Linked DNA regions of Oryctolagus cuniculus. The protein of the gene in region 1 interacts with the protein of each later gene in a pairwise test. Links are inferred from orthologs where the notes say so. Each region holds a gene or a part of one and is shown in the gene's direction. Other genes may lie near its edges.

Region 1 (15,900 bases):
CTGAGGTGGGAGATGTCAGGCTTGGGTGGAGAAAAGATTTCTACGCACAGTCGCTTTGTCTTGGATCAGCACCCTGAACTATCAAACCAATATTGTCTTCTGTCTGTCTCTTTTGTGGACTCTTTTGTGAACACACCAGCGACCTCTGTGGGGTGAGAAATCGTCCCACTGGATTCCCCGGAGATAGGCCACAGTTACAACGCATAGTAAGGACACAGTGACAGAAGGGGTGAAAGGACAGGAGCTGAGAACAGGATTTCGAGGCATCAGAGCAGCACGCCTAGGTCGCGGTGTCTGGGAGGAATCAGGGCTGCAACCCTGGGAATAGCCCACAGGACTGTAAAGCACTTCCTTACAGAGCCCAACACTCGGCATTGTGGGCCTGGGACAGAGGCAGCTGGGATTACGATTCTGACTTCACTGGGGAAGAAACGGAAGCTCAACCTCTTTAACACATTTGCTCCCAGTGACACAAGTGGGTGAATCAAACTGCTAATTGTCGTTTTCTGTATGATAGTCTTTTCAAGGTAATATTGAGTGTCTTATTCCACTGCGCGGTGTTGCCTGTGTGGTACTTTCAGGCAGCCAGCCAGTCTTCTCTATCCTTGAATGACTCTTTCCAGAGCCTCCAGGTTCAGATTCCAAATTTGAGGTTGGTATTTCTTGCTATCTGCACTGTGAGTTCAGTCTGGGGAAGCATAAGTGGGCGAAAGCAAGAAATTCGAAAACCAGAATTCTTTGTACTTCCCCAGGTTGTGTAAGCCTTTCAGTAGGAGCAACCTGCCTAAAGCGGCAGCTCTTCCCTCCTTCACATCTCCTGGGTGAGAGTTACTTTGTCCCCGTGAAGAATCCTCCCAGCTTACTGTGAGATTAGATCTCCAGAAACTTCTAAAGCAGATAATCCAAGCAAAAGCTCATGTTAGCTCGTCTGGCCTTGATAACCCCTCAGTCCCTGCCTACCCTTCACCTGGGCTGTCTAATTTTTAATCCAAGATTGCTAAGATCATGTTGAAGCTCAAATCTTCACCATCTTTAATCTCAGCAGCATTACAAAGGCCACACTCGATTTTGGATAGAAGAGAGAGGGGTCTGTGTAAGGTAGTTGTGAATTCTTTCTTCTGTCATATTGTAACCTTTTTGCAGTAGGATTAAGTTTTCATAAAAACTCTTGAGTAGAAGGGATCTGGAAGCTCATCTTTCAAAATCCCATTCAGTGCAGTCCTCCCCTGCCTTGCTGCATACCCTATTTCTTAGGCCTACTCAGACTGCACATATTTCCAAAATCAGATGCCACTAATGCTAGGAGACTCAGTACATACTATAACAACCAAATTGTTGTTGTTGTTTAAAGATTTATTTATTTGTTTGAAAGTCAGAGTTAGAAAGATCTTCCATCTGCTGGTTCACTCCCTATATGGCTACACTGGCCAGAACTGAGCCAGGCTGAAGGCAGGAGCCAGGAGCTTCTTCCAGGTCTCCCATGTTGGTAGCAGGGGCCCAAGGACTTGGGCCATTTTCCGCTGCTTCCCCAGGCCAATAGCAGAGAGCTGGATCAGAAGTAGATCAGTTAGGACTCAAACTGGCACCTGTATGGGATGCTGGCCTTGTAGGTAGTTACAATGCTGGCACCTGAAACCCAGTTTTATCTTTGAACATGTCTTTCTATGAGGAAAAGAATTGTTACAATCTTAATAATGTGATATAAGGGGCCGACACTGTGGTGTAGTAGGCTAACCTTCTGCCTGCAGTGCCAGTGTCCCATATGGGTGCTGGTTCATGTCCCGGCTGCTCCTCTTCTGATCCAGCTCTCTGCTATGGCCTGGGAAGGCAGTGGAAGATGGCCCAAGTCCTTGGGCCCCTGCAGCCACAAGGGGAACCCGGAAAAAGCTCCTGGCTCCTGGCGTTGGATAGGCGCAGCTCCAGACGCTGTGGCCATTTGGCGAGCAAACCAGCAGATGGGAGGCTTTCTCTCTCTCTCTCCTTCTCTCTTTCTGCAACTCTGTCTCTCAAATAAATAAATAAAATCTTGAAAAAGTGATACTAATTTAATTTTTTTTTGACAGGCAGAGTGGACAGTGAGAGAGAGAGACAGAGAGAAAGGTCTTCCTTTGCCATTGGTTCACCCTCCAATGGCCGCTGCGGTCGGCGCGCTGCAGCCGGCGCACCGCGCTGATCCGATGGCAGGAGCCAGGAGCCAGATGCTTTTCCTGGTCTCCCATGGGGTGCAGGGCCCAAGCACCTGGGCCATCCTCCACTGCACTTCCTGGCTACAGCAGAGGGCTGGCCTGGAAGAGGGGCAACCGGGACAGAATCCGGCGCCCCGACTGGGACTAGAACCCGGTGTGCCGGCGCCTCTAGGTGGAGGATTAGCCTAGTGAGCCGCGGCGCCGGCCGATACTAATTTAAGTGTTATAATGACAATAGGATTCACTAGTCACCTCTTATCTATGAGGGCTATGTCCCAAGACCTCCATGTATTCCTGAAATCACAGATGAGAGCTCACATGAGCTTTTTCTTATAAATACCTAAATAAGAAAGTAACAGTAACTAACAAAATATAACAATATATGAAAAATATAATAAAAATGATGGGAATTCTCTCTCTCAAAATATCTTATTGTGCTGCAGGTTTTTAGTAACCTCAGCTTACAATTTTGTTTCTTCATTATTTTTTAAACTTGATTTATTTTTAAAAAAAATTTTTGTTTATATAAGGTAAACAAATTTCTTTATTTCATAAATACAAATTTAGGAGCATAGTGATACTTCCCACCCCCCTTCCATCCTGCCCACATTCCCACCCTCACTCTTTTTTCCTTTCTTATTTTCTCTTTTAGTTTTTACAATGACATAATTTCACTTTACTTTATAATCATAAGCTTAACCCTCCACTAATTAAAGAAGTCAACAAATAGCAAGAAGAAAAAAACACCATTTCTCTACAGTAGAGACAAGAGCTATAAACAATAATCAAATCTCAAAATGTCAGTCTTGCTCAAATGCATTACGTTTTATTTCTGTGCTCTAGTTACCATGGATTAGGGAAAACTTATGATACTTGCCTTTTGGGGAAGACCTTTTACGTTTTTACTTAAAGGAAGTACTTTGTGGCTTCTCTTTGGCATATCCAAATTGCCAGCATCTCTCCTCTTGGGCTTCGGAACCATTGTTGGGTAAATTAAGAGTTCCTTGAGCACAAGCTCTGTAACACCCTGGCAGTCGTTTTGATAATCAAGAAAGCCACTCAGTGACTGACGGGCAGATAGTGTACACAGCATGGATATACTGGACAAAGGAGTGATTCATATCCTGGGAAGAATGCTGCTGGATGACATGAGATTTCATCGTGTTATTCAGAACAGTATGCAATTTAAACATATGAATTGTTTCTGGAATTTTCCATGTAATAATCTTGGACCACAGTTGACTGGGCAACTGAAACCATGGTTAAGGGTGCATACTGTACTTATGTTGTTGGTGATGTTAATATAACATTATATTAAAATTGCTCGATATATTAATATAGTAAATATTCGTTAAAAGTACTAATATTTCTATTGAGTGTTAATTTATTAATCTGCCATGCATTCCAGCTTTTTCAAAGGGCATTTGATCCATTGTCTAAATAAATCCTTACAACACCCGTATATGAATGGTCTCACCATCCCTAGTTTGCACAGGAGAAAATTCAGGCTGTCAAAGGTGAAGTAGCTTGCCCAAACTTTCAGAGCAAACAAGGAGGTTAGGGACTGACCTAGATCTGATCCCTGGCCCACACTGGAATTCAGTCAGACTGATTGATGGTGTGCATATGATGTACAGACTATTTTTTTCTCACCTGAAATTTGAGGAAATAAATCTACCCACATCATAGAGGTGCCTAGCATATTCAATGTACTGATAGACAATAGAGCCTATTTAGATAGGTCCCTAACTCATAATAGCCCTCCACATACCTAGTGCTAGATATTCTATGATAAAGCTCAAATTTTTTGCCTTGAAACATCTCCAGTATTCAAAATTGATTTCTTCTAATTTTCTCCATTTCTGAATATGATCATCTTCGTATATTCATTGTTACTCAGCAACAGCTCTTCATCTTTTTGTATATTCATTTCAAGAAGTATTTTAAGATGCTTAAGTTTATTTCTGCAGTGGTGCAATCTTCACTGAAAATAATTTTAAGAAGATGATTTTAGTAAAAAAAAGAAAATTATTCGTACTTTACCCACCCAAAATTAGCTCACACCCTTTGGCTCTCCTTCACAGTGAAGCACTTTTCCTGAGGATTAAAAACAAGTCATGCCTAGAAATCCTGCAAAAAAATGCCAGTCTCCATGGCAGCCCAAATAAGTGGACATAAGAAATGTTGGATGTTACTCAAGTCCTTTTTATTTTCTTTGGTTTCTATGGATTCTTTAAAGGATAGCCAAGAAGGCCAGTGTGTGTTTGTATTTGTTTTTGTCTTCAGGCTAGACTCTATTTTCTGTGCTGATGCATTATCACTGCTTTTCTTGTTGTTAATATCCCCTCCAGTGTACACAGAGAAGGTTAGTGTCTATAATTTGAGAGAAATGACAGAGTGACAGAGAGATACATCCTAATGCACCTGCAGAAAATTTGACATATAATTTTAGATCAGGTGTCTTTAACCATTTCCAGAGATAGGACTACCTCACTTTTTCAGAATACTGTACAGGTCATGGTGCTTTCACAGGCATTATGTAAGTTAACCCTTAAGGAAACCCTGGTACAGGCATTTTTTAAACAACTTTCATAGAAATGGCAAATAGTGACATAGAAATGCAAACCCAGAATTTCTTACTCTGTTCATTTTTACAATAGTCTTTCATTGTTCAAGGAAGCATTGCTAACATTTCCCTTTAGCGACTTGGTAACAGTAGTCTTTGTAGTCCTAATACTGTTCCAAATGCCTGATGTGAATACCTCCTGCTGAAGTTGTAGGTGGATAAGTTCCTATCATTTGAGCTAAAGTAACTTCCGCATTGTCTTATGTGAAAGGTAAATTTAAAGAGTTTCTAAATGGGAAATAATAAGGTCCCTCCCCTCAAAAATGTACTCTCTATGACAGGAATAAGTAAATGTTTTCTGTAAAGAGTGAGATAGTAAAATTTTTTTATTTTTATTTATTTATTTATTTATTGACAGGCAGAGTGGACAGTGAGAGAGAGAGACAGAGAGAAAGGTCTTCCTTTTGCCGTTGGTTCACCCTCCAATGGCCACCACGGCTGGCACACTGCAGCCAGTGCACCACGCTGATCCGAAGCCAGGAGCCAGGTGCTTCTCCTGGTCTCCCATGCGGGTGCAGGGCCCAAGCACTTGGGCCATCCTCCACTGTACTTCCGGGCCACAGCAGAGAGCTGCCCTGGAAGAGGGGCAACCGGGACAGAATGCGGCGCCCCAACCAGGACTAGAACCCAGTGTTCCAGCGCCACAGGGCGGAGGATTAGCCTATTGAGCCACGGCGCCGGCCGAGATAGTAAATTTTTTAAGCTTTGTGGGCCAGAAAGTTTCTGCAAACTTACTCAACTCCATTATAGCACAAAAGCAGTCGTAAGCAACCTGTAAGTTATGTGCAAGGCTATTTTCCAGTGAAACTATTCATAAAAATAGAGGGCAGGATAGATTTGGTCCATGGATTATAGTTTTCTCACCTCTGGCCCGAAAGATGCCCACTTCCATTGACTCTAAAAGAATGGAAAGCTCAAGGTTGTGCCCACTAATGCACCAAAGGAAACATCAAGAGGAGAGCTGGAGGTCCTGATGTTAGGAGATGCTTGTTTTGTTGTATACAGGGAAGGGATAGATGAGAGGCCGCTCTGGTAACTCCAGAAGACTGTGTTCTCTTAGCCACGAGATAGGATATATGATTCTTTCCTCTGGCTATGGGTTAGCCTGGAAAACACACTGACTCACCCCCTGTGATGCCTTCTGCTCCTTATTGTGTGCTGTGCTGGCAGCCCCTGGGTCCCTGTTGATGAGCAGGGCTCTTTGGTGATTTTTTAGGAGTTTCCAATCTGGGCTAGAGTTAGAAGGGGTGTTCAGGAGAACAGACATGTGTCCAAAAAAATAGTATAAATAAAAACAGGGGAAGAATCAGCAGAGAGATGCTCCCAGAGTGTGCTGGGAAGACAAAGGCAAGAAAAGTGGGGTTTGTTCAGCGCAGTTGGGGTGACAAAGCAGGAAAGGATGACCCAGCTTGTCAGTGAGACCTGGAAGGGGCAGTTCAGAAGAGGAAACTCCAGGTATGGGAGAGCGAATGGTATAGCAGAGAAAGGCTGAATCCCCTATCTCTGACAGAGGGCAGGTGAGGGAAGGGCAAAGGAGAGTTGAAAGTCCAGCAACACCTCTGTGAGAGGCTGAAAGATGAAGCTGAGAGGCTGCGATTTTATTCCACAGGAAATAGGGGCCCTGGGTGGCTTTTGAGCAGGCACGTAAATAAAACCAGAATGGGGCTTTCCTGAGAGAATTATCACCAGCAGTGTGGGGGCAAGTTAGGTTCAGCAAATGAGCCCCTCAGAACTCAAGAACAGTGCTGTCCAAGAGAACTAAGATGTGAGCCATAAATGCAAGCCATATATGAGTTCTAGATTTCATATAGTTATGATTTTTAAAAGTAGAAACAGAATTAGTTTTAATAATAGTTTCTTATATAATCAACATAAATATGACTAATCATATCTTTCACATTCATTTTAAAATTTTTATATATTTTCATTTTATTTGAAAGGTAGACAAATCTTATGTTCACTGGTTCACTACCCAAATGCTTGCAGCAGCCAGGCCTGGACCAGACTGAACGTAGGATCAGGAACTCCATCCAGTTCTCCCACATGAGTGGCAGGGCCTGACCTACTTGAGCCATCACCTGTAGCCTTCCAGGAAGCTGGATCGCAAGCAGAGGAGTGCAAACTTGAACCAGACACTCTGATAAGAGAGCATCCCAACTGCCACACCAAACACCCTTCCCATATTTTACATTCCTTAGCTCACACTAAGTCTTCAAAATCTGTAATGTGTTTTACCCTTAGAACAAATCTCCATTCAAACTTTTGATGTTCCAAGTGTGCAGTGTGGTGGTGGCTACCTGTTGGACAGCACAGCTCTATCACATGTCACAGAATAGGCATCCAGGAGACCAGAGGACAGCCTTGTGAGGGTGCCTGGCTGCATACCACATCGAGCTCCCTTGTGCTCTGAGCTCTTTTTAGAACAACCTTCATAGGGATAATCTCTGTGCTTTCAAAAGGAAATATTTGCAGGATGCTGTGAGTACTTGGAAAATAGTGTTCTGCCTAAAGGTAGGTGAACCACTAAGGTAAGTAAAATAGTGGACACTTTACGTGATAATTACAAGGTTTCAATAGGGAGTTTTAATCTTAATTTTTTTAAGCTAGAAAGTCTCTTAACTACTTTTCTCTTTTTCTACTTGCTGTGTGTATGTATGCAGGGGAGAAAACGAACAGAGGGATACAGAGAGAAAACACACATAGAGACAGACAGCAAGATGAGGGAGGGAGACAACAGAACAGGATAACCAGGAGTGTTTTTAAGCTGTTAGTACTAGGGACCTGTCCTTATCTACCGAATCAGAGACTGAGTGAGCCAGATACAGGTAGCATCATTAGTAATCCATCAGCAGGTCTGTATTATCACTAAAAATGTAACAAAACACAGAAGAACTTTTTAAAAATAGATCTATTTTTTATTAATTTGAAAGAGAGAGAGAGGCAGAGATAGAGAGATTGATTGGCCTTCCATATGCTGGTTCACTCCCCAGATGGCTCAAAGGCAAGGGCTGGCCAGACTGAAGCCTGGAGCAAGGAGCTTCTTCTAGGTCTCCCAAATGGGTGCAGGGGTCCAAGCACTTGACCCATCTTCTGCTGCCTTCCCAGGAGCATTAGCATGGAGCTGGATTGGAAGTGGAGCAGCAGGGACTTGAACTGGCGTCCATACAATATACTGGCATTGCAGGCATTGGCTTTACAAGCTACACCACATTGCCAGCCCCAGAACTTTTAACTAGAATTCTTGGAAAGCAAAAAGGAATATTCTGCTCAATTAGTTGGAGTGTTGGATTGGGCTGCAGCAAGAACAATGGCTCGGGGTGGGGGGTGGGGGGGGCGGAGAAGGAGATACAAGGAGGCATCTGAGGAGCATGCACAAAAAACCACCACCTTGAAAGGAACTACAGCCACCCAAGTCCTTTATCAGACAGAGGACCCCAAGGAGCAGCAGGGATGTTTTCCCCTTTTTTACTTACTGGGTTTTATTGCTGTGTGTGTGTGTGTGTGTGTGTGTGTGTGTTGGAACTGAGTTGCCATACCAGGAAAAGGACAAGTGAGGCTATCCCCATTGCCTTCATTTTCCACCTTCCTGCTTAGCTGTAGCACTTTCCCTTCCCCTTCCCCACAAGAAAAGGAGGGGAATCATTTATAACATACCCCAGGCACTGATTTATGAGCCTGATCACAATATCAAACCCTGAGCTATTCTGAGATGCTCACGTGTATCAGCTGGGACCTAGCTAAGGCTGTGTAGTCTAATGGGCCCTCTAGATGATCTATATTGAACTCCTCCCCACCAGGCAGAAAACCGTTAGCAATACTTCTTAACATTAATGCGCATACCAGTCGCCCGGGGATTGGTGAAAATGCCCCTTCTCATTCATAGGTCTAGGCTGGGGCCCGGGATTCTTTCCGTTAGTGGAGGATAATAAGCAGTGTACACTTTTCGTCTAGAGCTGTATTTAGTAAGCTTCTGAACACTGCCTGTGCTGCATGTGTGCTGACCACACATGGACTAGGAAATCCTGAGAACATCAAATATTTGTGTGAACAAAGTCAAATAAACAATCTACAATCTAGGCATTTCTTCTTTTTTTTTTTTTTTTTGACAGGCAGAGTGGACAGTGAGAGAGAGAGACAGAGAGAAAGGTCTTCCTTTGCCGTTGGTTCACCCTCCAATGGCCGCCGCGGCCGGCGCGCTGCAGCCAGCACACCGCGCTGATCTGAAGGCAGGAGCCAGGTGCTTTTCCTGGTCTCCCATGGGGTGCAGGGCCCAAGCACCTGGGCCATCCTCCACTGCACTCCCGGGCCACAGCAGAGAGCTGGCCTGGAAGAGGGGCAACCAGGACAGAATCCGGCACCCCGACCCGGACTAGAACCCGGTGTGCCGGCACCGCAAGGCGGAGGATTAGAGGGCATTTCATCTTTCCACAAACTGCATGCCCCGTGGTACCCTTGCCTGGGAGCGCACAGGGGCCTGGGATTTGAAAACAGAGGAGAATTAAGCCATCACAGCAGCCAGCGCTGCCAATCCTGCCTAGGAACACACCTTGCCTTTGAGGGTCATTTATTTTTTTTTTCATCCTTTTGCCTCTGTACTTTCAGGTATCCAAGCTTGAAAGAGAGAAGACACAAGAAGCCAAGAGGATCCGTGAGCTGGAGCAGCGCAAGCACACGGTGCTGGTGACAGAACTCAAAACCAAGCTCCATGAGGAGAAGATGAAGGAGCTGCAAGCCGTGCGGGAGAATCTCATCAAGCAGCACGAGCAGGAGATGTCGAGGACAGTGAAGGTGCGGGACGGAGAGATCCAGAGGCTCAAGTCGGCCCTGTGTGCTCTACGGGACGGCAGCAGCGACAAAGTAAGGACAGCGCTCACCATTGAGGCCCGGGAGGAGGCCCGGAAACTGTTTGATGCAGAGCGCCTTAAGCTCTTACAGGAAATTGCGGACCTGAAAACAGCCAAGAAGCAGGTGGACGAGGCTCTGAGCAATATGATCCAAGCGGATAAGATCAAGGCCGGGGACCTTAGGAGTGAGCACCAATCCCACCAAGAAGCCATCTCGAAGATCAAGTGGGAGTCCGAGCGGGATATTCGGAGGCTGGTTAGTAATCCTGGCGGCCCCAGGCAGAACCACCTTCTGTCCAGGTTTCAGAATGCTGTGGGGTTTATTTTTCCGGTGTTTCCTTGTTAGTGGATGCTAATAAACAGTGCACACTTTTGTCTAGTGCTGTATTTAAAATACAAACTAGATCACTAGGGAGGGAGGGAGATCTAAGGAAAGCTAAGGGCAGGCCAAAAATGGATTGCAAATGTAAGCAATTTTGGAATCGCCTTTCTCAAATGAACTCGAGGTTCTCCCAGACCACATGTGTGGAGAAAACACCTACATTCCTGGATATCTGCAAAAATATTCTAAATTATGTGCTCCTCAGAAGTCAGCTTGTTTTGTGGGGTTTCCATTTGTAAAGTGTTACTGGATGTTTTACGGGGGATAGCAAAGTAGCTACAGCTTTCCCTGTGTGTGAAAATGGCAGCCACTGTGAATATCTCAAGTGATTTGCCATTCGATTTTCCAAGAATACTATCTGGAAACAGGACACAGAGACACAAAATCCCTAGTCATTTTAAAAACTGGTCTTTTCCCCAAAATAAACATGGGCCACTTACAACAGGAACCATTATAAATTTTAAGTTGTGTGTCCTTCCTAAGTAACTTTTTTGCTTTTCACAATTTCCAAGACTTACTTCAACCCCTAAAGTTGCCTTCCTTTTAACAAATAGCCAAAAGTCACATGATTTTTTTTACCATGCTTAAAAACAAAACAAATGGAACAATTGTCTGAAAGCTGTAATGCCCTAATTTGAAATTGCCCAGCTATTTTAAAAGAAACCTTTATATTTACTATACTCAGATATTCAGCATTAGTTAAAGTTTAGTTTTAACTTATCAAATAAGCCATCACCTGTTAGAATGTACTTTCTACTTCACTAGAAAATGTATCTTTTTAAGAGAAACTATACTTTCCCTCATGTGTCAAGCAATGCTAAGTAATTGAAGTAATTGTTTTTGAAGAATTTCCATTATGTCCCTTGGATGATATCTCTAAGATTTCAATTTTAAGTTCAAAGTAGTTATCATGGAACACTTTCAAAAACTAAGGATGTATAATGTTCTTTGCACTGCAGTACAATGTGACTGTGAAATGTTGCCTTTGCTACACTTTGCATGCTTTATCTGCAGCTCATTCTATTGTATTTTTTCGATAATAAAGACCAAACACAGTGCAGACATATTGGTTCTGCCCTGCCTTTGGTTTCGGAAACAATAATGACTGATGAAGAAAGAATCAAGACTGTGAACTCTGAAGCCAGCAGGTAAGTAATGAAAAAGGAAGCTTTGCATTAAGTATTTTTGATTCTTAAGGGCTTTCAATATAAAATCTGCAAATATGTTCCCTTGTTGATTTGTAAATTGTTTCCGTGACATCATTTCATCAAAGCATACATTAAGTAGCCAGAAAATCCCTCTTAGTGACAATTTAAAAGTTAAGCCACTTTAAAAGGGGTTTGAAAATTGGGTAAAAACAGAATAACATAGACAACTGTTTCAATAAAACAGATGTACTCGTATTCATTTTTTCATTCTTCCTTATCCTGTTCCTACCCCATGCCCTAATTCCATTTTTGTAACTGGAAGGGAGGGAAATGGGAGCTGTTCTGTTTAGGAGGTTCCCTCAGAGAATTCTGGTATGCATCCCTTTCCATCAATGAAATATAACTTTGGTCAATATTCAGTATTCTGAGGTGAGAGAGCATGCTTATAACCACTATGCAATAGAATTACCACAATAATAATTACTAAGGTACTCCACTGAAAACCAGCATGGAAAATGCTGGAAGATGGGTAATCTTGAGGCAAGAGGAGCATAGTGCCTGAGAAAGGCCTCTAGTATCACAAGAGTGAATTAAAAAATCAGGTTTCAATACTGACTAGCAGATGACTACCACCAACATTTTTGGTGTTTTTAATTTTTTTTTAATTTGAGAGGCAGAGAGGACTCAACTACTTGAGTCAGCATCAACTAACTCTCAGGTGGGAAGCTCCAAGCAGTAGCTGGAGCCAAGAATCAAGCTTAGGCACTTCAGTGTGCTTTACAGGCACCTGCTCCCTGGAGCCAGCTTTTAAACCTTTCAGGTCACCTGTCGTCATCTATAACACAGTGATAACAGAATCTACTGAATAAGACTGCTCTGAAATGAGATGAAGTATGTAAATTTCTCACTTTAGTGCTTTAAATATACTAAAAGATGGATATATTTCAGTTATGATGATGGTGATGATCGGAGTGTTTATGTGGGAAGTAATGGAATCGAGCTCAGTCGGGGAGGATACATCAGAATCAATTAGGAACAGGCAGATTGGGTGCTAAATTAAAATGTATATAACACTATAGATGACAGGTTTGACAGAAAAATGCATTACCCAGTTAAGAATAGGAGTGGACTCACTGCAAAGAGATACAAACTAGAAGTGATATTTGTATTCCAGAATTAACAGGACAGTAATGATCATTTACAAATTATCAGATGACACCATAGGATCATGTAGAATTTAATGCCCTCCCAAAATTGACCTAAAGTTTAATCTTGTGACTTGGTGGCAAAAGCTCACAGATATTTGGAAAATATGAAACTATGTAATGTAATTTCTGCCTCAAATATTTTTTCTTGTATAAACAGCACAACAAAGATTTATACAAAGTGAATTGTTGTAAAGAATTATTTTGAGAAATAGGAAAATGGTAAAATTTTCTCTGTATTGGATATCTTTTCCCTATTTGCATATTGAATATTTGCATAGAATACAGTAAAATGAGAAGAAATGTTACTGTCAATGACCGGGCTGTCTATTTTACAGTCACTTTGTTATCCCTCATCCAGGAATGGCAGAAAGGTTCCATGGCAGTGGAACGCTGATCAGTTGGTATCCAATGCCTTTGGCTCTGCTTTGAGAAATATTTTTGAGGACATGATCAGGCTTAGCAGAAATGAGTGTTGGAATCACTACATATATCCCGCAGATGAAGGAGGGGAGATAGTGTCTAATATAGCCCCGTTTTGCCATCCCTGTTCGAGTCCCAACCATCATTTTCTGAGCATAAGGGCAGAATGTTTGCTAAAAGCTGGCTGCTGTACAATATGAATGGGAGTGGAAAGAGCCACATGACATGACCCATGGATGGACTCCTCTCCAAATTCACTACTTGAACACAAACATGGTAGTCTTAGGAGATGACTCAGTCATTGGGAACTCTGCAGTTTCTTCAGTTGCAAGTGGCCTAACTGTGACAGCTGTTACTTGAATTGAACTCAAATGTCCACTCCCCTTGAAGAGAAAGCAACACAAATGTGCTAGGAAACATTGTAGTGGTGTATTTAGTGTCTGTCTTTATCTACACTAATAACCTATTTTAAAGTTTGCCTTTGCTTTCTGTATTTAACCAGCCTAGACCATTTCAAGCAATCTACTGAATGAAAACATCTACACAGGATATGGTAGAGAGAAAAATGACTCTCCTTGACATTTAATTAACCTCAACAGCCGTTCATTTCACAATGTTGCTCAATGTATTCATGAATTGAGTACACTTGTTATGTCCACTTTTTCCTGATTTCATTTAGAAGAAAGAAGTTAAACTCATACCGCTATGAAAATGCATTTCTTCACAGCATTGCTAAATAAGAATATTCTGGGTCTCGTTTAATTCAGATGGATGAAATCAAAGCCAAGGACAGGATCATCTTTTCGCTGGAAAAGGAACTGGAGACCCAGACAGGCTATGTACAGAAACTCCAGCTGCAGAAGGAGGCTTTGGATGAGCAACTCTTTCTCGTCAAGGAGGCTGAGTGTAACATGAGCAGTCCGAAACGGGAAATCCCAGGAAGGGCAGGAGACGGCTCTGAACATTGCGGCAGTCCTGTAAGTCTGTCCAAGTTGAAGTTCAGAACTCAGGAGTCATCTTTTATTTAGCTTCCAAATTTTTCTTTTCACTTAAGCACTTTTCATTTTACTACAAAGAAATCAATTTTACCTCCCATTATACCACCAGCTAGTATCTTGGGAAGAGGGTTTTCTAAACTGATAGACAGCAAAAGTGGTCTGTGCTGCATTAGTAGATCACGTGAAAAATATGGCTCTCTTTAAATCCCTCATAGAATTTTCTAGGCAAGCAATACCTTTCCAGTTTAAGTCTATTATAAGAATCATAAATTAGATGGAAATATTTTACCTCTTGCCAAGAATAATCATTTTCCCTTATGCGAACAATTGGGTTAGAAATTGATAAAGGAGGTTATCATTTAAAGGGATCAAAATGTATAACTGTATGAGAAACTAAACCGGTTATGCTCATCCTGTGAAAGCTTCTAGTCTTATTGAACTTGCCACTCATTTCCCTTGATGTTCAACACTTTATATAAGAAATTATTTTCAAAAGTACGATGATGGAATAGGGCTTGTCTGTAGTTTGCTAACACATCTATACCTTTCAAGTTATTAGCTGCTAAAAAGATGAAAATGTATTATTTAAGAACAGAGATGAGTTCTACTAAAGTACTACTTAGTACCAAGTGATGAATAATTCAAGAATTGGTATTCAAGAATATATATAGTCAAGATATATATATATATATATATATCCTGGCGGGAGGTAGAGACAGTACTGATCTAGGATTTAGCAGATGTATGCTTTGGTTCTATCACTGACACCTGCAATGTGTCATACTTGTGGAGAAAATAGCATATATGTGTATTATATTTGATTTATTGATTCTAAACATGAAACCTGAAACAGGTAACAGCCTCCCTGATTTTTACCCATTCTGCTGACTCTTGGAGAGTACTGTGACTCTAGAGATACAATAGGTGTGAAATTGCTGTGTCAACAATACTGCACCAACAAAATGTAAGATGATAATAAAATTGCAAGCATATGCTAATAATCCTATGGACTAGCTGAGAGGCAAGCCATGATTGCTGTGTGTAAAGTGATTTGTGGCAGTTTTGTCAGTAGGAAAGCCAGTTGCACTAGGTAAAAATATACCAGCAGAGCCTCTCCTACCAACTGCTGTTTTTTTTGTTTTTTGTTTTTTGTTTTTTGTTTTTTTGACAGGCAGAGTGGACAGTGAGAGAGAGAGACAGAGAGAAAGGTCTTCCTTTTCCACTGGTTCACTCTCCAATGGCCGCTGCGGCCAGCGTGCTGCGGCCAGCGCACTGCGCTGATCCAAAGCTGGGAGCCAGGTGCTTCTCCTGGTCTCCCATGCGGGTCCAACTGCTGCTTTTTATACATGAAGGTCACACAGTGACCTTTTCTCACTCTGACCTTTTCTCCAGGGATATGCAGGACTTTACAAGCCCATTCCCAGCTCCTACCCAGTCCCCTCTTTGGCTACGTGGAATAGCAGTAGATCTGTGTAAGCAGTGGGGAGCAAGATGCATCCACGACACAAGGGTTGCTCCTTGATCTCATGTAATTACAACGGAACCATGGTCTCGGAGGACACAGCTCTGAAAGGCTGATTCAGCCTTCTGCTCCCCTGCCCATGAGCCCAGCCTTTGGGGTGTAACTGCTACAAGGGAATTCATTTGTAATTTCAACCAGGATTTCTCCTAAATTCAAACCACGAATATTAGGGGGAAAAGTAGATAATTATTCTTCTCTAAATAAGAGAATATTTTACTCTCAGTAAAGAGAACTGTGCCAATTAATTTTATGAGCAGTATTCCAAAAGTGAAAAGTGTTATCAAGGAAATAACCATTTTAATTTTCATCGGTAGGATTTGAGAAGAAATCAGAAGAGAATAGCTGAATTGAACGCCACTATAAGAAAATTAGAAGACAGGAATACTTTGCTTGGAGATGAGCGAAATGAATTGGTGAGTTACATCAGAATGTTTCTACTTTATTTTCCTGTTAGGCATTGTGTTAGAGAAGTATATATGAAGCTTTAGAAGTAAAACATAACAGAAAAAAAGTACACATTAATAAATGTTCACAACATGGTACATCCTTATAACCCTCAAATGGAT
Region 2 (16,541 bases), on another chromosome or scaffold:
GCGCAGTATGCCAACGTAATGGCCATTTTGGGGGTGAACCAATGGAAGGAAGACCTTTCTCCATATTTCTCTCTCTCACTGTCTAACTCTGCCTGTCCAAAAAAAAAAAAAAAGAAAGAAAGAAAGAAAGAAAATGGTTAAAATGGTAAATTTTCCTTGTGTGCACTTGATCACAATGAAAAGCAAAATATACTATGTAAGAAATATAAATCAAAATAAGCTCAAAGGAAAATAAAAATGAATCTGTTTCTGCCTCAATGCTGGACACATAATTTGTAACCTGATTTTTCTCTCAATGTATTGTAATTTATATTCATATCATCAAGCATTCTTTACAACATTCTTAATGGCCACAATATTCCATTTCTTAAGGAAAGATAAGTTTCTTTGGCAAGACACTTATTAGTGAACATTAAGGTTATAGCTACTATAAATATACTACAATATTCTTGTAGGTAAATCTTTGCTCACTATTGTCATTGTTTTCTCAGGACAAATTCTGGGATGCAGAATTGCTTAGTGAAAAACTGTAAACATATGAAAAATTGCTAACATTTTATATTTTATGAACAGAAAAATTGAGCAGAGTTCCCAACACCTCCCACCCCCGCCACCCCTGCCCGATGCCTCTATTATTCACAGCTTCCATTATGACAGGGCATTTGTCACCACTCATGAGCCAGTGTTGAACACAATTATTAACTGAAGTCCCTGCTTTATTCAGATGTCCTTAGTTTTTATCTTGGGTATTTTGAGGAATAGTGGTCAGGTGTCTTATAGCATGTCCTCCACTGGGACATTCTCTCACAACTAGACTGGGTAACGGGCCTGGGAGGGGTCACGTGCCATCTCCAGAAGCTGATCTCAAGGGTGCCCACAGTCTGAGTGATTGACGACTGTTGCTGTTGGCCTTGGTCACCTGCTGCTCGTCAGGGTGCCCAGCCGTGGAGAGGCTCCGCCCCTCCTCAGACTGTACGCCACTGTGTGTGCAGCCACACATGAGGAGTGCGAGTTATGCTCCCCTGAACACAACCATTTTTGATGCTTTTGCTGCAAATTGTGTCATTGTTTTCCAGAAAGATTAGATGAGTTTTTGCTCAAAGCAGCCGTGTGAAAACATACCCACTTGATGGCAGGCTTATGAGTATTGGACGCTGTCCTTTAAAAACTTCCCTGCTGATTTGAAAAAGGAAAATGACATCTCATTAAAATTTGCAACCACTGGTTTATTTGAGTTTGTATATTTAAAAAATGTATATGTTGTGATGTATAAGTATGTTTTGATGCCAACAGCCAGTTAAGCCATTGCTTTCTGCACTCCCAGACTGGAGTTCAGATTCAAGTCCCAGCTGCTCCACTTCTGAGCCAGCTTCTAGCTAACGTACCTGGGAAGGCAGTGGATGATGGCTCAGGTACTTGGGCCCCTGCCACCCACGTGGAAGACCCAGATGCAATGCCTGGCCCCTGGCTGTGGCCTGGCCCCCGGACCTGGCTGTTTTAGTCATTTGGGGAGTGAACCAGGAGATGGAAGATTGCTCTCTCTCTGTCTTTTCCTTTCACTGTCGCTCTGCCTTTCAAATAAACAAATAAATACATCTTAAATATATTTGATCATATAGATAGATGTTTTGTTGATCATTTGCATTTTTCTCTGAAGGATTTCCAATACATTTTTAAAAATTGGGATGTTTATTAATTTTCAGAATATTAACATTTTGGCCAATGTGTACTAGTACTTATTTTTTTTAAAGATTTATTTAAGTATATATTTGAAAGGCAGAGTCACAGAGAGAGGGAGAGAAATCAATCTTCTATCTGCTGGTTCACTGCCCAAATGGCCACACCACTCACGGCCAAAGCCAGGAGCCTGGAACTCCACCTGGGTCTCCCACATGGGTGCACTTGGGCCATCTGCTGCTGCTTTCCCAGGGAGGGGAAGCAGAGCAGCCCGGCCTTGACATTTAGGTATGGGATTTTGCTGTCCTACGTGCGGGCTTGATGAGCTATGCCACAATGCCCACCCTCGGTGTGATGCTTTGGTACATGCATACCTTGTGAAATGACCACATCAGCCTAATTAGCATACTCATCTTCTCATGTACTTATTGTTCTTTGGGGTGAGAACATTTACGATCTGATCTCAGGGATTTTCGCGGACGCAGCACGTTAGCTCCACTCACCATGCTGTGTGTGGGCGCTCAGCCTGACTGAAACTTTGCCGCCTTTGCCCAGCGTCTTGCCATCCACGTGCCCAGCGGGAGGTGAGGAGGGAGGGCAGCAGGGGTGGCAGTGAGCACTCATGTCACCAAGCCGGTGTGAGCTGGTTTCAGTGGTGAAACCATACGAGGCTGGTTCTTAGTTGTAGCTCACAAGGTGACACAGGAAATGGGGATGAGCGGATGCCCCACCCCGAGGCAGGGTGGGGAAGGTTGGTGGACCTGTTTTCCTTCTCATCGGACTCCTCAGATGTCTTCCGTGTGCCTCTAGGGCCTTTCCTCACAGCCATGGCGGCCACCGTTGTCGGCAGAAGCCACTCAAAGAATCACCGGCTTCCACAGCCGAGGGCTGCCCTTAGTATGAGACCGGGTGGAGGTGCAAGGGGACAGGAGCAGGCAGAACCCTGGGAGAGGGGAAAGAGGAGAGCAGCTGGAGGCTCCTACCTGGGTGTGAAGAAGAGAGGCAGAGAGAGAGGGAGAGAGGTCTTCCATCCAATGGTTTACTCCCCAGTTGGCCGCAATGGCTGGAGCTGCACTGATCCAAAGCCAGGAGCCAGGAGCTTCTTCCAGGTCTCCCATGCGGGTGCAGGGGCCCAAGGACTTGGGCCATCTTCTACTGCTTCCCCGGGCCACAGCAGAGAGCTGGATTGGAAGTGGAGCAACCAAGTCTTGAACCGGCGCCCATATGGGATGCCGGTGCTTGAGGCCAGGCTGTTAACCCGCTGCATCACAGTGCCAGCCCCTCATGTCTTCTTTTTAAAAAAAATAAGTTTAATTTAATAGAAAAGGCAGACACACACACACACACACACAGAAAGATCTTCCACCTGTGGGTTCACTCCCCAAACGTTCACAAAGGCAAGGGCTGGGCCAAGAACTCAATTCAGGTCTCCCGTGTGAGCAGCAGGGACCCAAGTGCTTGGGCCATGATCACCTGCTGCCTTGCAGGCCTGTGCACCTGCAGGAGCTGGATGTGGACTTGAACCCAGGCATTCCAAAGCCCAGTGTGAGTGAGCCAAGCTGCCTGCCCTGTTTCCCACATCATCTGGGTATGGTGGAGTGAGAGTGCCTGCTGCAGACCCCACAGGGCATGGTGGCACAAGAGGGTACTTGCAGTGTCCTGAAGGCTGCCACGTAGCATAGACCTCAGCAGACAGCGCAGGAGAGCCAGTGAGCTGGCCCAGGACGAGGCGCGGGAGAGCCGGTGAGCTGGCCCAAGGTGAGGCGCGGGAGAGCCGGTGGGCTGGCCCAGGGTGAGGTGTGCGAAGCAGAGAAGGACAGCGCTGCACTCTCACTAGAGAGAAGTTGAGAACCCCTTTGTATGCCACGGGCCACCCACTTTTAGTGGAGCACCTGACATCCATGGTACTCAGAGCCAGAGAGGACAAATTAGGACTGAGAAGTGGACGGACCTCTTGGCTAGGCCCTGGAGAGCTTAGATTGAATTTCAGGGGAGAAAAAAGGGATAAGGGGACAGAAAAAGAGAGTTTTAAACTCAATTGTGGCTGAATTATAAACTGGAATTGACTAAGAAAAGACTGAATTTGAATGAGTTTATCTGAAAGTGACTCGATTAAATTTTCTCTGCTTTGAGGCAGAATGGAGGCTCAAGGCGGAAATTACACTCAATTACAGGAGAATGGAGAAAATTACATTTTTGCACACTCAAGTCGGTGACTGTGAAATTTATAACCGGCTCCAATAATTATAGGCAGCCAGGTGTCAGTAAAACCTCATTCTAGACCCAGGAGTTATTATGTGCTGTTCTTCCAAGCTATTACCTGATCGGTGGCGGGGGCTCAAGAGGTCAACATAATGTCTTATCATCAGAAATCATGATGAGACCATTCACATTCTTGCTGAAAATGTTCTCTTGTGTCAGAGAGCAAGGTCCAGCCTTGGGAGAAGGAGAGAGCACATTTGTCCGTGCTCTGAGAGATCTGACCCAGGTCCTAACCCTAGGACCAGAAGGGGGAACATCGTGATGACTCTGGACGTGGGATTTCTTCTCTGCCCCTGTAGCCCTGCCCTCCACACCCATGTCCCCACGCGTATCTGTGTCCTGGGAGCAGATCCGTGTGGGTGGAGCTGTACATCAAATACGTTTCGCATCCTTCAAGAGTGCCCAGGTTTAGTCCCCAGCTGGCCACACTGAGTAGTAGTGGGAACTTTGGGAGATGGGGCCAAGTGGCAGATCCTTCGGTCTTTGGAGACGTGAAGCTGTTTCCTGTGCAGCCCTTGGCCGTTCTGGAGAGAGGGCTGTCATCGAAGGAGCGAGTCTGGCTCCTGGTGTGAGACGTGACCTGCTGCCCTGACATGGGCTCCCCCCCCACGGCTCCCCACCGCCCATCATATGTTGTGAGGTCCTCGCCAGCTCTGAGCTGACGTCACTCCCATGCTCCTAAACCTCCCAAACTGGGAACCAAGTACGCCTCTCTTCTCTTTGTAAGTCGCTGTGCCAGGTATTTCATTGTGGTAAGCAGAGGGCATCACCAGGTGGGCGGGAGTGATTAGGATGTTGATTCCCACATCCTCTCTACCCTGGCCTCGTGGATGACCACAGCTCCCGCCAGGGACCCCTCTGCACATACCCACCCTCCCCACGCTCTGACATAGCTCTCTCCTCTCACTCGCAGGCTGGGGTGGTAACGTGCTGTTAACACTGCCAAGGAGCACTGCCCTTGCCCTTGGGGTCTCCTTGAGCTCTGCCCACACCCTTGAAAGTCATGCCTTTGTTGAACTCTTCTCTAACTGCCTGCTGAGTCTGCTTTGATGTTCTTGACTGATGTACTGGGGACCATTCTAGAAAGATCTGTGCTGCGTGCATGGATATGGAGAAGTGAGTCATCTGTAGAGCAGAGAATCTATCTCCTTCTCCCAGTTGAGTCAGCAGCCCTGAGTGAGAGGACTCAGGAGTTCTTATGCGACATCCTGGTCTAGTACACGCTCCAGCATTCGTGTGTGTGTGTGTGTGTGTGTGTGTGTGTGCATAATTGTGAATATACTTTGAGATGAACTCTTTAGGGTCTTCATTACAAATAGAAATTATTGCTATCTGTATAAAAAAGCATAACTGAGAATCCTAGAGACTATAGGTTGGCTAATTTTTTTAAGAGTGAGTGTTACTCTTCTATATTAAGGATTTTTATTATAGAGACAAAGGCTCAGAATTCAAGATCAGGTTGCAACGGGGGAGGGAGAAGCCCTTGGCACCTGCAGCTCCTATTCTGTCACAGCCAGCCGTGTTATTTCGGTAGGAACAGTGATCCTCTCCAAGCTCCCAGCCAATGGTATCGGGTTTGGGCTCCCTGCAGCTCCAGCCTCCCTCACCTATGCCCGACACAGTGACACAGCTCAGCTGCTTCAATGTGCCTTACGCCGTTAACACGGCACTTTTTATTTTTAAACAAATATGTGATTCTGACAACTGGAGCTTCCTCCTGGAAACTGGGCAGAAACAGCTGGGGGTCAAAAAGACTTGCAGTTTATGAAGAGCTGGAGCCATGCACTGAGCTAAGTGGTTCTGTCTTACTTTTATAGTATGGAGACTAGAAAAATGCTACTGCAGGTTACCCTTAGCTAAAATGAAGGCAGTTGGACTTTCTCTTTCCAGAGACTCACCGCAAACCGAGGTGCTCCAGGCCTTGGCATCACAAAGCTGTTCTTTCTTTGGGCATGAAGTGACGGCTGGTGTATTTGCAGAAGAGAAACTAAAGAGTGACTCAGCATTTCTGCGGCTGCCCTCTGTTCCTAAGGGTGTAGGAACAGAGAGCAGTTTGAAAGCACACGGGGCCACATGTCTCTCGTTAGCCAGAGAATTCCTGCAGTGTTGTCCTGGCTCATGTGGCAACTTGGCCTCCAAAATGGAGCCTTGGTAGTGACAATTCCAATAGCCAAAACCACTTAGTTATGAGGGTTCTTCAAAGAGTTCACAGAAAATAGCATTAAAAGACATTTAAAAAATTATTTATGTATTTATTTGAAAGGCAGAGTTATAGAGAGGCAGAGAGAGACACAGAGAGAGAGATCTTCCACCCACTGGTTCACTACCCAAATGGCCACAATGGCCAGAGCTGGGCCGATCTGAAGCCAGGAGCCAGGAGCTTCTTCCAGGTCTCCCACGTGGGTACAGGAGCCCAAGGACTTGGGCCATTTTTCACTGCTTTCTCTGGCCATAGCAGAGAGCGGGATCAGAAGTGGAACAGCCAGCTCTCAAACCAGTGCTCATGTGGGATGCCAGCACTGCAGGCCGCAGCTGTATACCTATGCCACAGCGCTGGCCTGGAGACATTTGTTTTTGGTGCAAAACTGTGGGGAGCAACCCGGACTGGACTGAGTTACTGGAATTAAGACTTATTCTATGCATCTGCTCTCCCACAATATGGCGCTGGGAGAGGAGAAAACAGCTTCTACGCAGCTGCCTCTTGCCAACTTGAGTGATGACCTCCAGGAGCTGATCCTGCTCCTGATTGGAGGAGAGCAGCATACTCGGCGTGTGGGCAGCCGAGTTAGGATTGGCGGAGGAGGACTATAAAGGAGGAGAGAGACAACATGCACCAGGAACATCTAAGGGGAATACCTGAGGAACACCTGTGCAGCCCCCGAGAGAGCCGGCCGGCGGTGTGCCGCTCCCCCGCAGAAGTGGGGAATGTGGCAGGGGGAACCGCCCTTCCACGGAGGTGGAAGGGACGGTAGCCAACCCGGGAAGAACCAGCAGCAAACCCGGGGAGGGCCGAGCAGACAAAAGAACAGCGCAGGGTCCTGTGTCGTTCCTCCACGAAGAGGGGGAGCGACACAAAACATTTTGAGATCCATGCGTATGTGGGGTCTTCAAAATGTACATGGAAAATTCATACTAAGAGACAACCATGCATGGGTTTCAAAAACTTTTTGCACCAAAATAAATATCTTTGTTTTAAAAAGGTATATTTAATTATTTGAAAGGCAGAGATACAGAAAGAGACAGAGAGAGGGGAGAGAGAGAATCTTCCATCTACTGGTTCACTCCCCAAATGCTGTAATGGCCAGAGATGGGCTGATCTGAAGCCAGGAGCCAGGAGCTTCTTCTGGATCTCCCGTGTGGAAACAGGGGCCCAAAGACTTGGGCCATTTTCCATTGCTTTCCCAGGCACATTAGATAGGAAGTGGAGCAGCCAGGACTCGAACCAGGGCCTATATGGGATGCCGGAACTACAGGTGGAGAGTTAACCTTTTATGCCACAGTGCTGGCCTCATAAACATATCTTTTAATTTTACGTTTCCATGGACTTTTTAAAAATAGTTGTCTTATTTATTTATTTATTTGAAAGACAGATTGCAGAGAGAGAGGGAGAGACACACACACACACACACACAGAGATCTTCCATCCCCTGGTTCACTCCCCAAATGGCCAGGATTGGGCCAGTCCAAAGCCAGGAGCTTGGAACTCTACCTGGGTCTTCTATGTGGGTGGCAGGGACCCAAGTTTGGGCCCTCTTCAGTTGCTTTCCCAGGCATGTTATCAGGGAGCTGGATTGGAAGTGGAGCAACTGGGACTCAAACTGTCACTCACACAGATGCTGACATCGTAGGTGGTAGCTTAACCCAGTGCACCACAACACAGCCCCCCCACCCCCGTTTTTGAAGTGCCTTCATATCTCTGGTGGGCCGTCACTCCCTCAGTTATTACCTTCCCGGATGTCATGACATGAGATGCAATCTGTGTCCTATAGGCTCCAGCACATGATTGGAGCTTATGTCTTAATGGTGCTTCCAACTTTGGAACCAATCTTTGCTTCTCCCACTTGAAGAAGAAGTTGGCAAAGCTTCAGGAAAGCTGACATGGAAAGAGCCCTGGATTGGGATTCAGGTTGACCAAGGTCCCTAACGGCTTGCTAGTGACTTGGAGACATCTTTTAGAGCTTTCTGGGCTTCTTCCTTACTGTAGAGGGAAGAGGCCAGACCCCATTGATGATTCCTCTTCTTTTGCCATTGCTACTGGCGCTCTACAAGGTAGAGTAGGGTTATAATGAACAGTCTCTGGCCCTTTAAATCCGGTATCCATAGCGCCAGAGCTCGCGTCATTATTATGTATTTGGTGTCTGTAGGAACACTGGCTGGTGCACTTGGAAGGAGAACTCCACCAGAGGGAGCCAGCCAAAGTTGCCATCACCACCCTGGCCTTTTGTGATTGGAATCTGCACAGGGGCCCCAGGGAGCCCGTGATGTAAACACCACACACTCCCGTACACCAGACAACACTCTAAACAACTAGTACTCTCACCGAATGAGGGATTGAACATCCTTTTCCTTGACGACACTGAGGAGACAGTCGCGAGATTTGGGTAAGTCTCACTATAAAACCTGCCCACCCAGCCCCCTGGTGGAACTCACTCCTGCTAGGGCAGTGCCGAGTATCCTCATGAAGCGCTGTGTGGTCTTAGGCAAATGAACGTGAGTCTCAGCCATGTTCATTTTGTTTGTGTTTTACAGAAATTCGTCCTTTTATAGATAATAGCCTGACCAGAGAGTCAGGTCAGTGCTACAAAGCTGTTAAAAATGTTCCACAGTCCACATGTTTTCCTTGTGATAATCAATGGATCCATCTGATAGGTTCTTACTAACTAAAACCCATAGCCTATGTTAGGATTCACTCTTGGTGGTGTTCGCTCTGTGGGTTTTGACAAATGATGTGCCTGGGGCCACGAATCCACCACTATAGGATTGTGCAGAACCGTTTCACTGCCCTGAGAAACCTCTTGTGCGTCATCTACTCCCCCTTCCCTCCTTTCTCCAGTCCCTGCAGCCACTGATTATTTAACGGTCACCATAGCTTTGCTCTTTCTAGAATGCTGTATAATTGGAATCATATGGTATGTAGCCTTTTCAGACAGGTTTCTTTCACTTAACATTTAAGCATTTAAGGTTTCTCCATGTCTCTTCATGGCTTGAGAGCACAGTACTTCTTGTCACTGCATATTATCCCATTGTATATATGTACCAGTTATCTACCCGTTAAGGGAGGTCTTGGTTACTTCCAGCTTGGGGAAATTATGAATAAAGATGCTATTCATCTGTAGACTTTTGTGTGGACCTAAATTTCCAATTCACTTGGTTAAATGCCAAGGAGTGATTATTGGATCATTTGGTACCACTGTGTTTAGCCTTATAAGAAACTGCACAACTGTCCCAGAGTGACTGTGCCATTTTGCATTCCTATCATCAACGAATGAGAGCGCCTATTGGGTCACATCCTTACAAGTGTTTGGTGTTGTCAGTGTTTAGGATTTGAGCCATTTTAATGGTATGCAGTAATATCTCATTGTTTTTTTAAATTTGCAATTCCTTAATGACATATGATGTGAATACTTTTTCATTTGCTTATTTACTAACTGTAAATCTTCTCTGACCAAGTGTCTTTTTAGGTCTTTTGTTCATTTTTAAAAACTGAGCAAAAAGTTTTGAATTTTAGGAGTTCTTTGTATAATTTTGGATAACAGTCCTTCATCAGATGTGTGTTTTATAAGAATTTTCCTCTTTGTCTTACCTTTTCATTACCTTCACAGGGTCTTTTACAGAGTGGAAGTTTTTAATTCTAATGAAGTATAATTTATCAGTTCAGTCTTTCATGGATTATGCCTTTGGTGTCCATCCTATCTAAAAAGTCACCACTATACCCAGTCACCTAAATTTTACCTTATGTTATCTCCCAGAAGTTTTACAGCTTTGGCTTTTGCATTTATGTCTGTGATTCGTTTTGAGTTTACTTTTGTGGAAGGTGTGAGGTCTCTATCTGGACTCATCTCTTTGCTGTGGCTGTCTCATCGTCCCCCCTTTCCCCACTGAGTTGCCTTTGGCCCTTTGTTAGACATCCACTGGCTGTGCTCCTGTGGGTCTGTGTCTGGGCTCTCTGTTCTGTTCCTTTGGTTTCTTTGTCTCTTTTTTGCCAGGGCCACACTGTCTTGATATCTTTATGCCCAGTGGTGTCAATCCTCTGAACTGGTTCCTCTCCTTTAAAATTGTGTTGGCTACTTTCTGTCTTTCCACATAAACTTCAGAATTGGCTTGTCAATCTCTACTAAACAGTTGCCTGGGATTTTGAGTGGGATTGCATTGAATCTACAGAGTTGGGAATAGCTAACATCTTACCAATATTGAGTCTTCCTGTCTACAAACATGGAAGATCTCTCCATTTATTGATTATTTTCATTAGAATTTTCACCTTAAAACTTTTTAACAGGGACTGGCATTGTGACCCAGTGGGTTAAGCCACTGCCTGAGAGTGCCAGTTTGACTCCCAGCTGTTCCACTTCTGTCTAGCTCCCTGCTAATGCACCTGGGGAGGCAGCAGAAGATGGCCTAAGTCCTTAGGCTCACACTCCCCACAGATCCTGGCTTTGGTTTGGCCCAGAGCTCTGGCCACTGTGGCCATTTGGGGAGTGAACAAGTAGATGAAAGATCTCTCTCGCCCCATTCCCCCTTCTCCTTCTCTCTCTCTCTCTGTATCTCCCCCCACCCCCCGTTACTCTGCCTTTCAAATATATGAAATAAATCTCAAAAAGAACCGCTTTCTAACAGACATATAAAATTGTACATATTTACAGGATACTATATGATATATGCATACATTGTATAATATCTCCATTCATTTAGAGCTTTGGGTCTTTCATCAATATTTTATAGTTTTCCTCATGTAAATATGTACATATATTGTTAGACTTATACATGTCTTCCTCTTTTTGGTGCTAATATAAATGTATTATGTTTTTAGTTTTAAACTGTTTGTTGCTGTCTGTTGAAAGCAATGGATTCTTGTAGACCCGTCCACTTACAGAAGGCCTTCTTTGCCTTTTTCTCACTTTGTTACCTTCTGTCTCTCAAAAGAGAGGAACTCAGGAATAGATGTTAGACATTTTTAAAGTCCGTAGACTTATTTGTCAGGCCTATAGGAAAATGTAGATGGTATAGACAGTCCCTGTAAGTCCCTCTTCACAGTTTGCTCTACTATTGATATTGTGCATAAGTGTGACACATCTATTATTTTTTTATTTTATTTTATTTTTTTAACTTTTATTTAATGAATATAAATTTCCAAAGTACGATTTATGGATTACAATGGCTTCCCCCCCATACCGTCCCTCCCACCCGCAACCCTCCCCTTTCCCACTCCCTCTCCCCTTCCATTCACATCAAGATTCATTTTCGATTATCTTAATATACAGAAGATCAGCTTACTATACATTAAGTAAGGATTTCAACAGTTTGCTCCCACACAGAAACATAAAGTGAAAAATAATAGATGATTTTTTTAAAATGATGATGAAATCAGATCAGACCTATTGTCATGTTTAATCCCAGTGAGAGTCAAGTTGGGAGTTGATAATTTCTTTCTTTCTTTCTTTTTTTTTTTTTTTTAACAGAGGATCAGTTTAGTATGCATTAAGTAAAGATTTCAACAGTTTGCACCCCCATAGAAACACAAAGTGAAATATATTGTTTGAGTACTCGTTATAGCATTAAATCTCAATGCACAGCACATTAAGGACAGAGATCCTACATGAGGAGTAAGTGCACAGTGACTCCTGTTGTTGACTTTACCAATTGACACTCCTGTCTATGGCATCAGTAATCTCCCTATGCTCCAGTCATGAGTTTCCAAGGCTATGGAAGCCCTCTGAGTTCTCCGATTCTTATCTTGTTTAGACAAGGTCATAGTCAAAGTGGAGGTTCTCTCCTCCCTTCAGAGAAAGGTACCTCCTTCTTTGAAGACCTGTTCTTTCCACTGGGATCTCACTCACAGAGATCTTTTGCCAGAGTGTCTTGGCTTTCCATGCCTGAAATACTCTCATGGGCTTTTCAGCCAGATCCGAATGCCTTTAGGGCTGATTCTGAGGCCAGAGTGCTATTTAGGACATCCGCCATTCTATGAGTCTGCTGAGTATCTCACTTCCCATGTTGGATCACTCTCCCCTTTATTTATTCTATTGGTTAGTGTTAGCAGGTACTAGACATGTTTATGTGCTCCCTTTGACTCTTAGTCCTTTCATTATGATCAATTGTGAACTGAAATTGATCACTTGGAATAGTGAGATGGCATTGGTACATGCCACCTTGATGGGATTGAATTGGAATCCCCTGGTATGTTTCTAACTCTACCATTTGGGGCAAGTCAGCTTGAGCATGTCCCAAATTATACATCTCTTCCCTCTCTTATTCCCACTCTTATGTTTAACAGGGATCACATTTCAGTTAATTTTCAACACTTAAGAATAACTGTGTATTAATTACAGAATTAAACCAGTCATATTAAGTAGAACAGACAAAAAAAAAAAAAACTACTAAGAGGGATAATGTATTAAGTTGTTTGTTAACAGTCAGGGCTATGCTGATCAAGTCACCGTTTCCCATAGTGTCCATTTCACGTCAGGAGGTTTAAGAGGAAACTTTTAAGAGGATGCAAGTCAAGGGGTGCTCGAGTCCCATCTCTGATCTTTGATGGTCTAAACTAGAAGTCTATGGAAGGATTTTTTTTTTGGGCAGGCAGAGTTAGACAGTGAGAGAGAGAGAGAGAGAGAGAGAGAGAGACAGAGAGAAAAGTCTTCCTTTTTCCATTGGTTCACCCCCGAAGTGGCCGCTACGGCCCGCGCGTTGCGGCCGGCGTGCTGTGCCGATCCAAAGGCAGGAGCCAGGTGCTTCCTCCTGGTCTCCCATGCGGGTGCAGGGCCCAAGCACTTGGGCCATCCTCCACTGCCTTCCCGGGCCACAGCAGAGAGCTGGACTGGAAGAGGGGCAACCAGGACAGAATCCGGAGCCTCAACTGGGACTAGAACCCGGGGTGCCGGCGCTGCAGGCGGAGTATTAGCTAAGTGAGCTGCGGCACCGGCCTGGAAGGATTTTTTTTAAAAGATTTATTTATTTATTTGAAAGGCAGAGTTACACAGAGAGAGAAGGAGAGGCAGAGAGAAAGAGAGAGAGAGAGAGAGAGAGAGAGAGAGAGGTCTTCCATCCAATGGTTCACTCCCCACACGGCCGCAACGGCCAGAGCTGTGCAGATTCAAAGCCAGGAGCCAGGAGTGTCCTCCAGTTCTCCCATGCAGATGCAGGGACCCAAGGACTTGGGCCATCTTCCACTGCTTTCCCAGGCCATAGGAGAGCTGGATCAGAAGTGGAGCAGCTGGGTCTTGAACCAGCACCCATATGGGATGCCTGCACTGTAGGCAGCGGCTTTACCCACTATACCACAGCGCCGGCCCCTATGGTAAGATTTAAAAAAGCACTTATCCCTTTTAGGCCTCTGGGCCTTCTCATTAAATAACCATCATGCCTGGTAACATAAGATCATTAGACTTTAACTTTTGGACATTTGTATCAGTAGCATTTTACATTTTCATAACTTAAACTTTAGTACCACTTCACATCTTGACAATATAATATAATGTAATACAATGTAATATAATCCAAAAAGCCTGATTAGTTGGTATCCCTACAAGTTGAGAGACATATATCCTTTGATATTTCCAGGAGCCCAACTGAAAATACCAAAGTCCAAAGAATTTGGAATTTTTATTTTCATTTTTTTGGATTAGCAGATGTTCTGCACCAGTTGCTGTTTTGGATCAAACTGGAAGATTCCTGCTGGGGAGTGTTTCTAGAGAGGAGCTGCCCTGCTGGGGGAGAGCTGCCACGCGGGGCCCTGGCTTTTTCATCTGTCACACGAGTAAGGTTTTGTGCACACACACGAGGAAGAAAGCAATGAGTGTGGGAGGTCAAAAACAGCAACACAGACCCCACAGGGAAGTTGCCCTGAGGTCCCAAGCCCTCTGTGTGCACTGGAATCGCTGTCTTTCAAGAGCTTTGTTGTTTCTGGAGGGCGGAAGGACCCTGTGGGGACCCTCAGGAGTGGGGAAAGCGCTGGGGGGACTGAAGGAATCCCGTGACTTCAGTGTCTTCTCACTGCTGGAGGAGGGCGGGCGGGCCTTAAGTGCCCACCTTTCCCTGTGGACTTAGCTAAGCCCCATCAAGAGGCCTCTGCAGATCCATACCACTTGCTCACTCTGGTCATCACTGAGGAGGCTGCAGGGACCTGGGGACGTCCTGATGTGACGGACAGCTCCCCTTCAGAACCGTGGCCACGCCTTCCCCACAACACACCTTCCTTCTCCACGGCTCTGGCCCCCACCCTCTGGCGGCAGCTGCACACGGATCTCCCTGGCTGTCATCCCTCTCACAGGGACGGGGCCCGGTGGAGGTGTAGATCCAGGCTCTTCCTTTTCTCCAAGCGTCTCTGCCTTTGATTCCTGCCTTACCCCAGGAACTCAGCACCTTGTTTCTGACTCTCCGGCATATCCTTCTTTTTAAAAAATATTTATTTATTTGAAAGTCAGAGTTACACAAAGAGAGGGGGAGAGAGGCAGGGAGGGAGAGAGAGAGAGAGACAGAGAGAGAGAGAGAGAGGGAGAGGGAGAGAGAGAGAGGGAGAGAGATCTTCCATTGGCTGGTTCCCTCCCCAAATGGCCCCAATGGCCAGGGCTTGGCCAGGCCAAAGCCAGGAGCTTCCTCCAGGCCTCCCAAGTGAGCGGCAGGGGCCCAAACACTTGGGCCATTTTCGCTGCTTTTTCCAGGCCATTAGTAGGGAGCTGGATGGAAAGGAGAGCAGCCAGGAGAGTGCCTGTATTGGACGCCGGCATTGCAGGCAGCGGCTTTACCTGCTTCACCACAGCGCCGCCCCCTCCCGTGTACTCTGCATCACACCTGGATGCGCTGGGCTGGATCTCAGGTGTTCCTTCTCAAACGTTACAACGCTTTCATAGCTATCTTTGCAGCATTTTTTGTTTCCTCTAATGTAAGTTCTACCTTTTCTACATAGGCTGACACTTTTGGGGAACAAAAATATCAGCTACCTGGTTAAATTTTAATGTGAGATGAAAATTTTAAAAATATGGGACATACTGGTACAAAAATTACTTGTTTGTATGAATTTTAAGTTTATTTGGCAACATATATTTATCTGTCAATTCTACTTCTATGGAAACTTTTTTTTTAAATTATGTATTTGAGGAACTGGCGCTGTGGCACAGCGGGTTAAAGCCCTGGCCTGAAACGCTGGCATCCCATATGGGCACTGGTTCTAGTCCCAGCTGCTCCTCTTCCAATACAGCTCTCTGCTATGGCCTGGGAAAGCAGTAGAAGATGGCTCAGGTCCTTGGGCCCCTGCACCCGCGTGGGAGACCTGGAGGAAGCTCCTGGCTCCTGGCTTCAGATCGGCGCAGCTCTGGCTGTTGGGGCCACCTGGGGAGTGAACCAGCGGATGGAAGACCTCCCTCTCTGTCTCTACCTCTCGCTGTAACTCTGTCTTTCAAATAAATAAAATAAATCTTTAAAAAAATAAAATTATGTATTTGAAAGGCAGAGTGACACAGAGAGAATGAGAAACAGAGAGAGAGAGAGAGAGACAGAGAGAGAGAGAGAGAGAGAGAGAGAGAAAGATCTTCTATCTGCTGGTTCATTCCCCAGATGGCTGCAATGGCTAGTCTGAAGCCAGGAGCCTGGAGCTCCATCTGGGTTTCCCACATGGGTGCAGGGGCCCAAGCACTTGGGCCAACCTCCCAGGAATTAGCAGGGAGCTAGACTGGAGGTGCAGCAGCTGGGACTTGAACTTGTGCTCATATGGGATGCTGGCATTGCAGGTGGCTGCTTAACCTGCTGCACCACAGCACTGGCCCCTAAATGATATGTCTTGTATTTAGCAATTATGTGCATGTGTTAATTACTCTTTTTGAGCAATTAGTATCAGGCCCTGTGCTAAGTTATTTTCACATACCATCTCATTGAATTCTTACAAGAAACATGAGATAAACTACTATGATACCCATTTTATAATACAGGAGCTGAGTTTCTGAGAGGCCAGGTTATTTAATTTTATTTATTTATGCCCCAAAGCTAATTATGAACTTGAACTTCAGTCTGCCTGTAAGGCGACCAATTAGATCCAGTTTGCCTGGCACTGTTCTTTTTTTTTTTTTTTTAAGATTTATTTATTTTTTACTTGAGAGTCAGAGTTACACAGAGAGAGGAGAGGCAGAGAGAGAGAGAGAGAGAGAGAGAGAGAGAGAGAGGTCTTCCATCCAATGGTTCACTCCCCAATTGGCCTCAATGGCCAGAACCAGGAGCTTCTTCTGGGTCTCCCATGCAGGTGCAGGGCCCCAAGGACTTGAGCTATCTTCTACTGCTTTCCCAGGCCATAGCAGAGAGCTGGATCGGAAGTGGAGCAGCCGGGACTAGAACAGGCGCCAATATGGGATGCCAGCACTTCAGACCAGGGTGTTAACCCATTGCGCCACAGCGCC

The links.
Region 2: the proteins of JAKMIP2 (region 1) and CLIP4 interact in binary tests that used the Homo sapiens proteins (3 or more experiments, as listed by UniProt). The two-hybrid records come from large-scale screens. The link is inferred for Oryctolagus cuniculus from reciprocal best matches to the Homo sapiens genes JAKMIP2 and CLIP4.

Annotation. Positions count from the first base shown.
Region 1 is NC_091437.1:35,126,622-35,142,521, reverse strand, and holds part of JAKMIP2 (janus kinase and microtubule-interacting protein 2), read left to right. Parts: intron 1-9,414; coding exon 9,415-9,912; intron 9,913-13,581; coding exon 13,582-13,791; intron 13,792-15,648; coding exon 15,649-15,747; intron 15,748-15,900.
Region 2 is NC_091433.1:173,897,898-173,914,438, reverse strand, and holds the start of CLIP4 (CAP-Gly domain-containing linker protein 4), read left to right. Parts: upstream 1-8,308; 5' UTR 8,309-8,540; intron 8,541-13,784; exon of another isoform or gene 13,785-13,912; intron 13,913-16,541.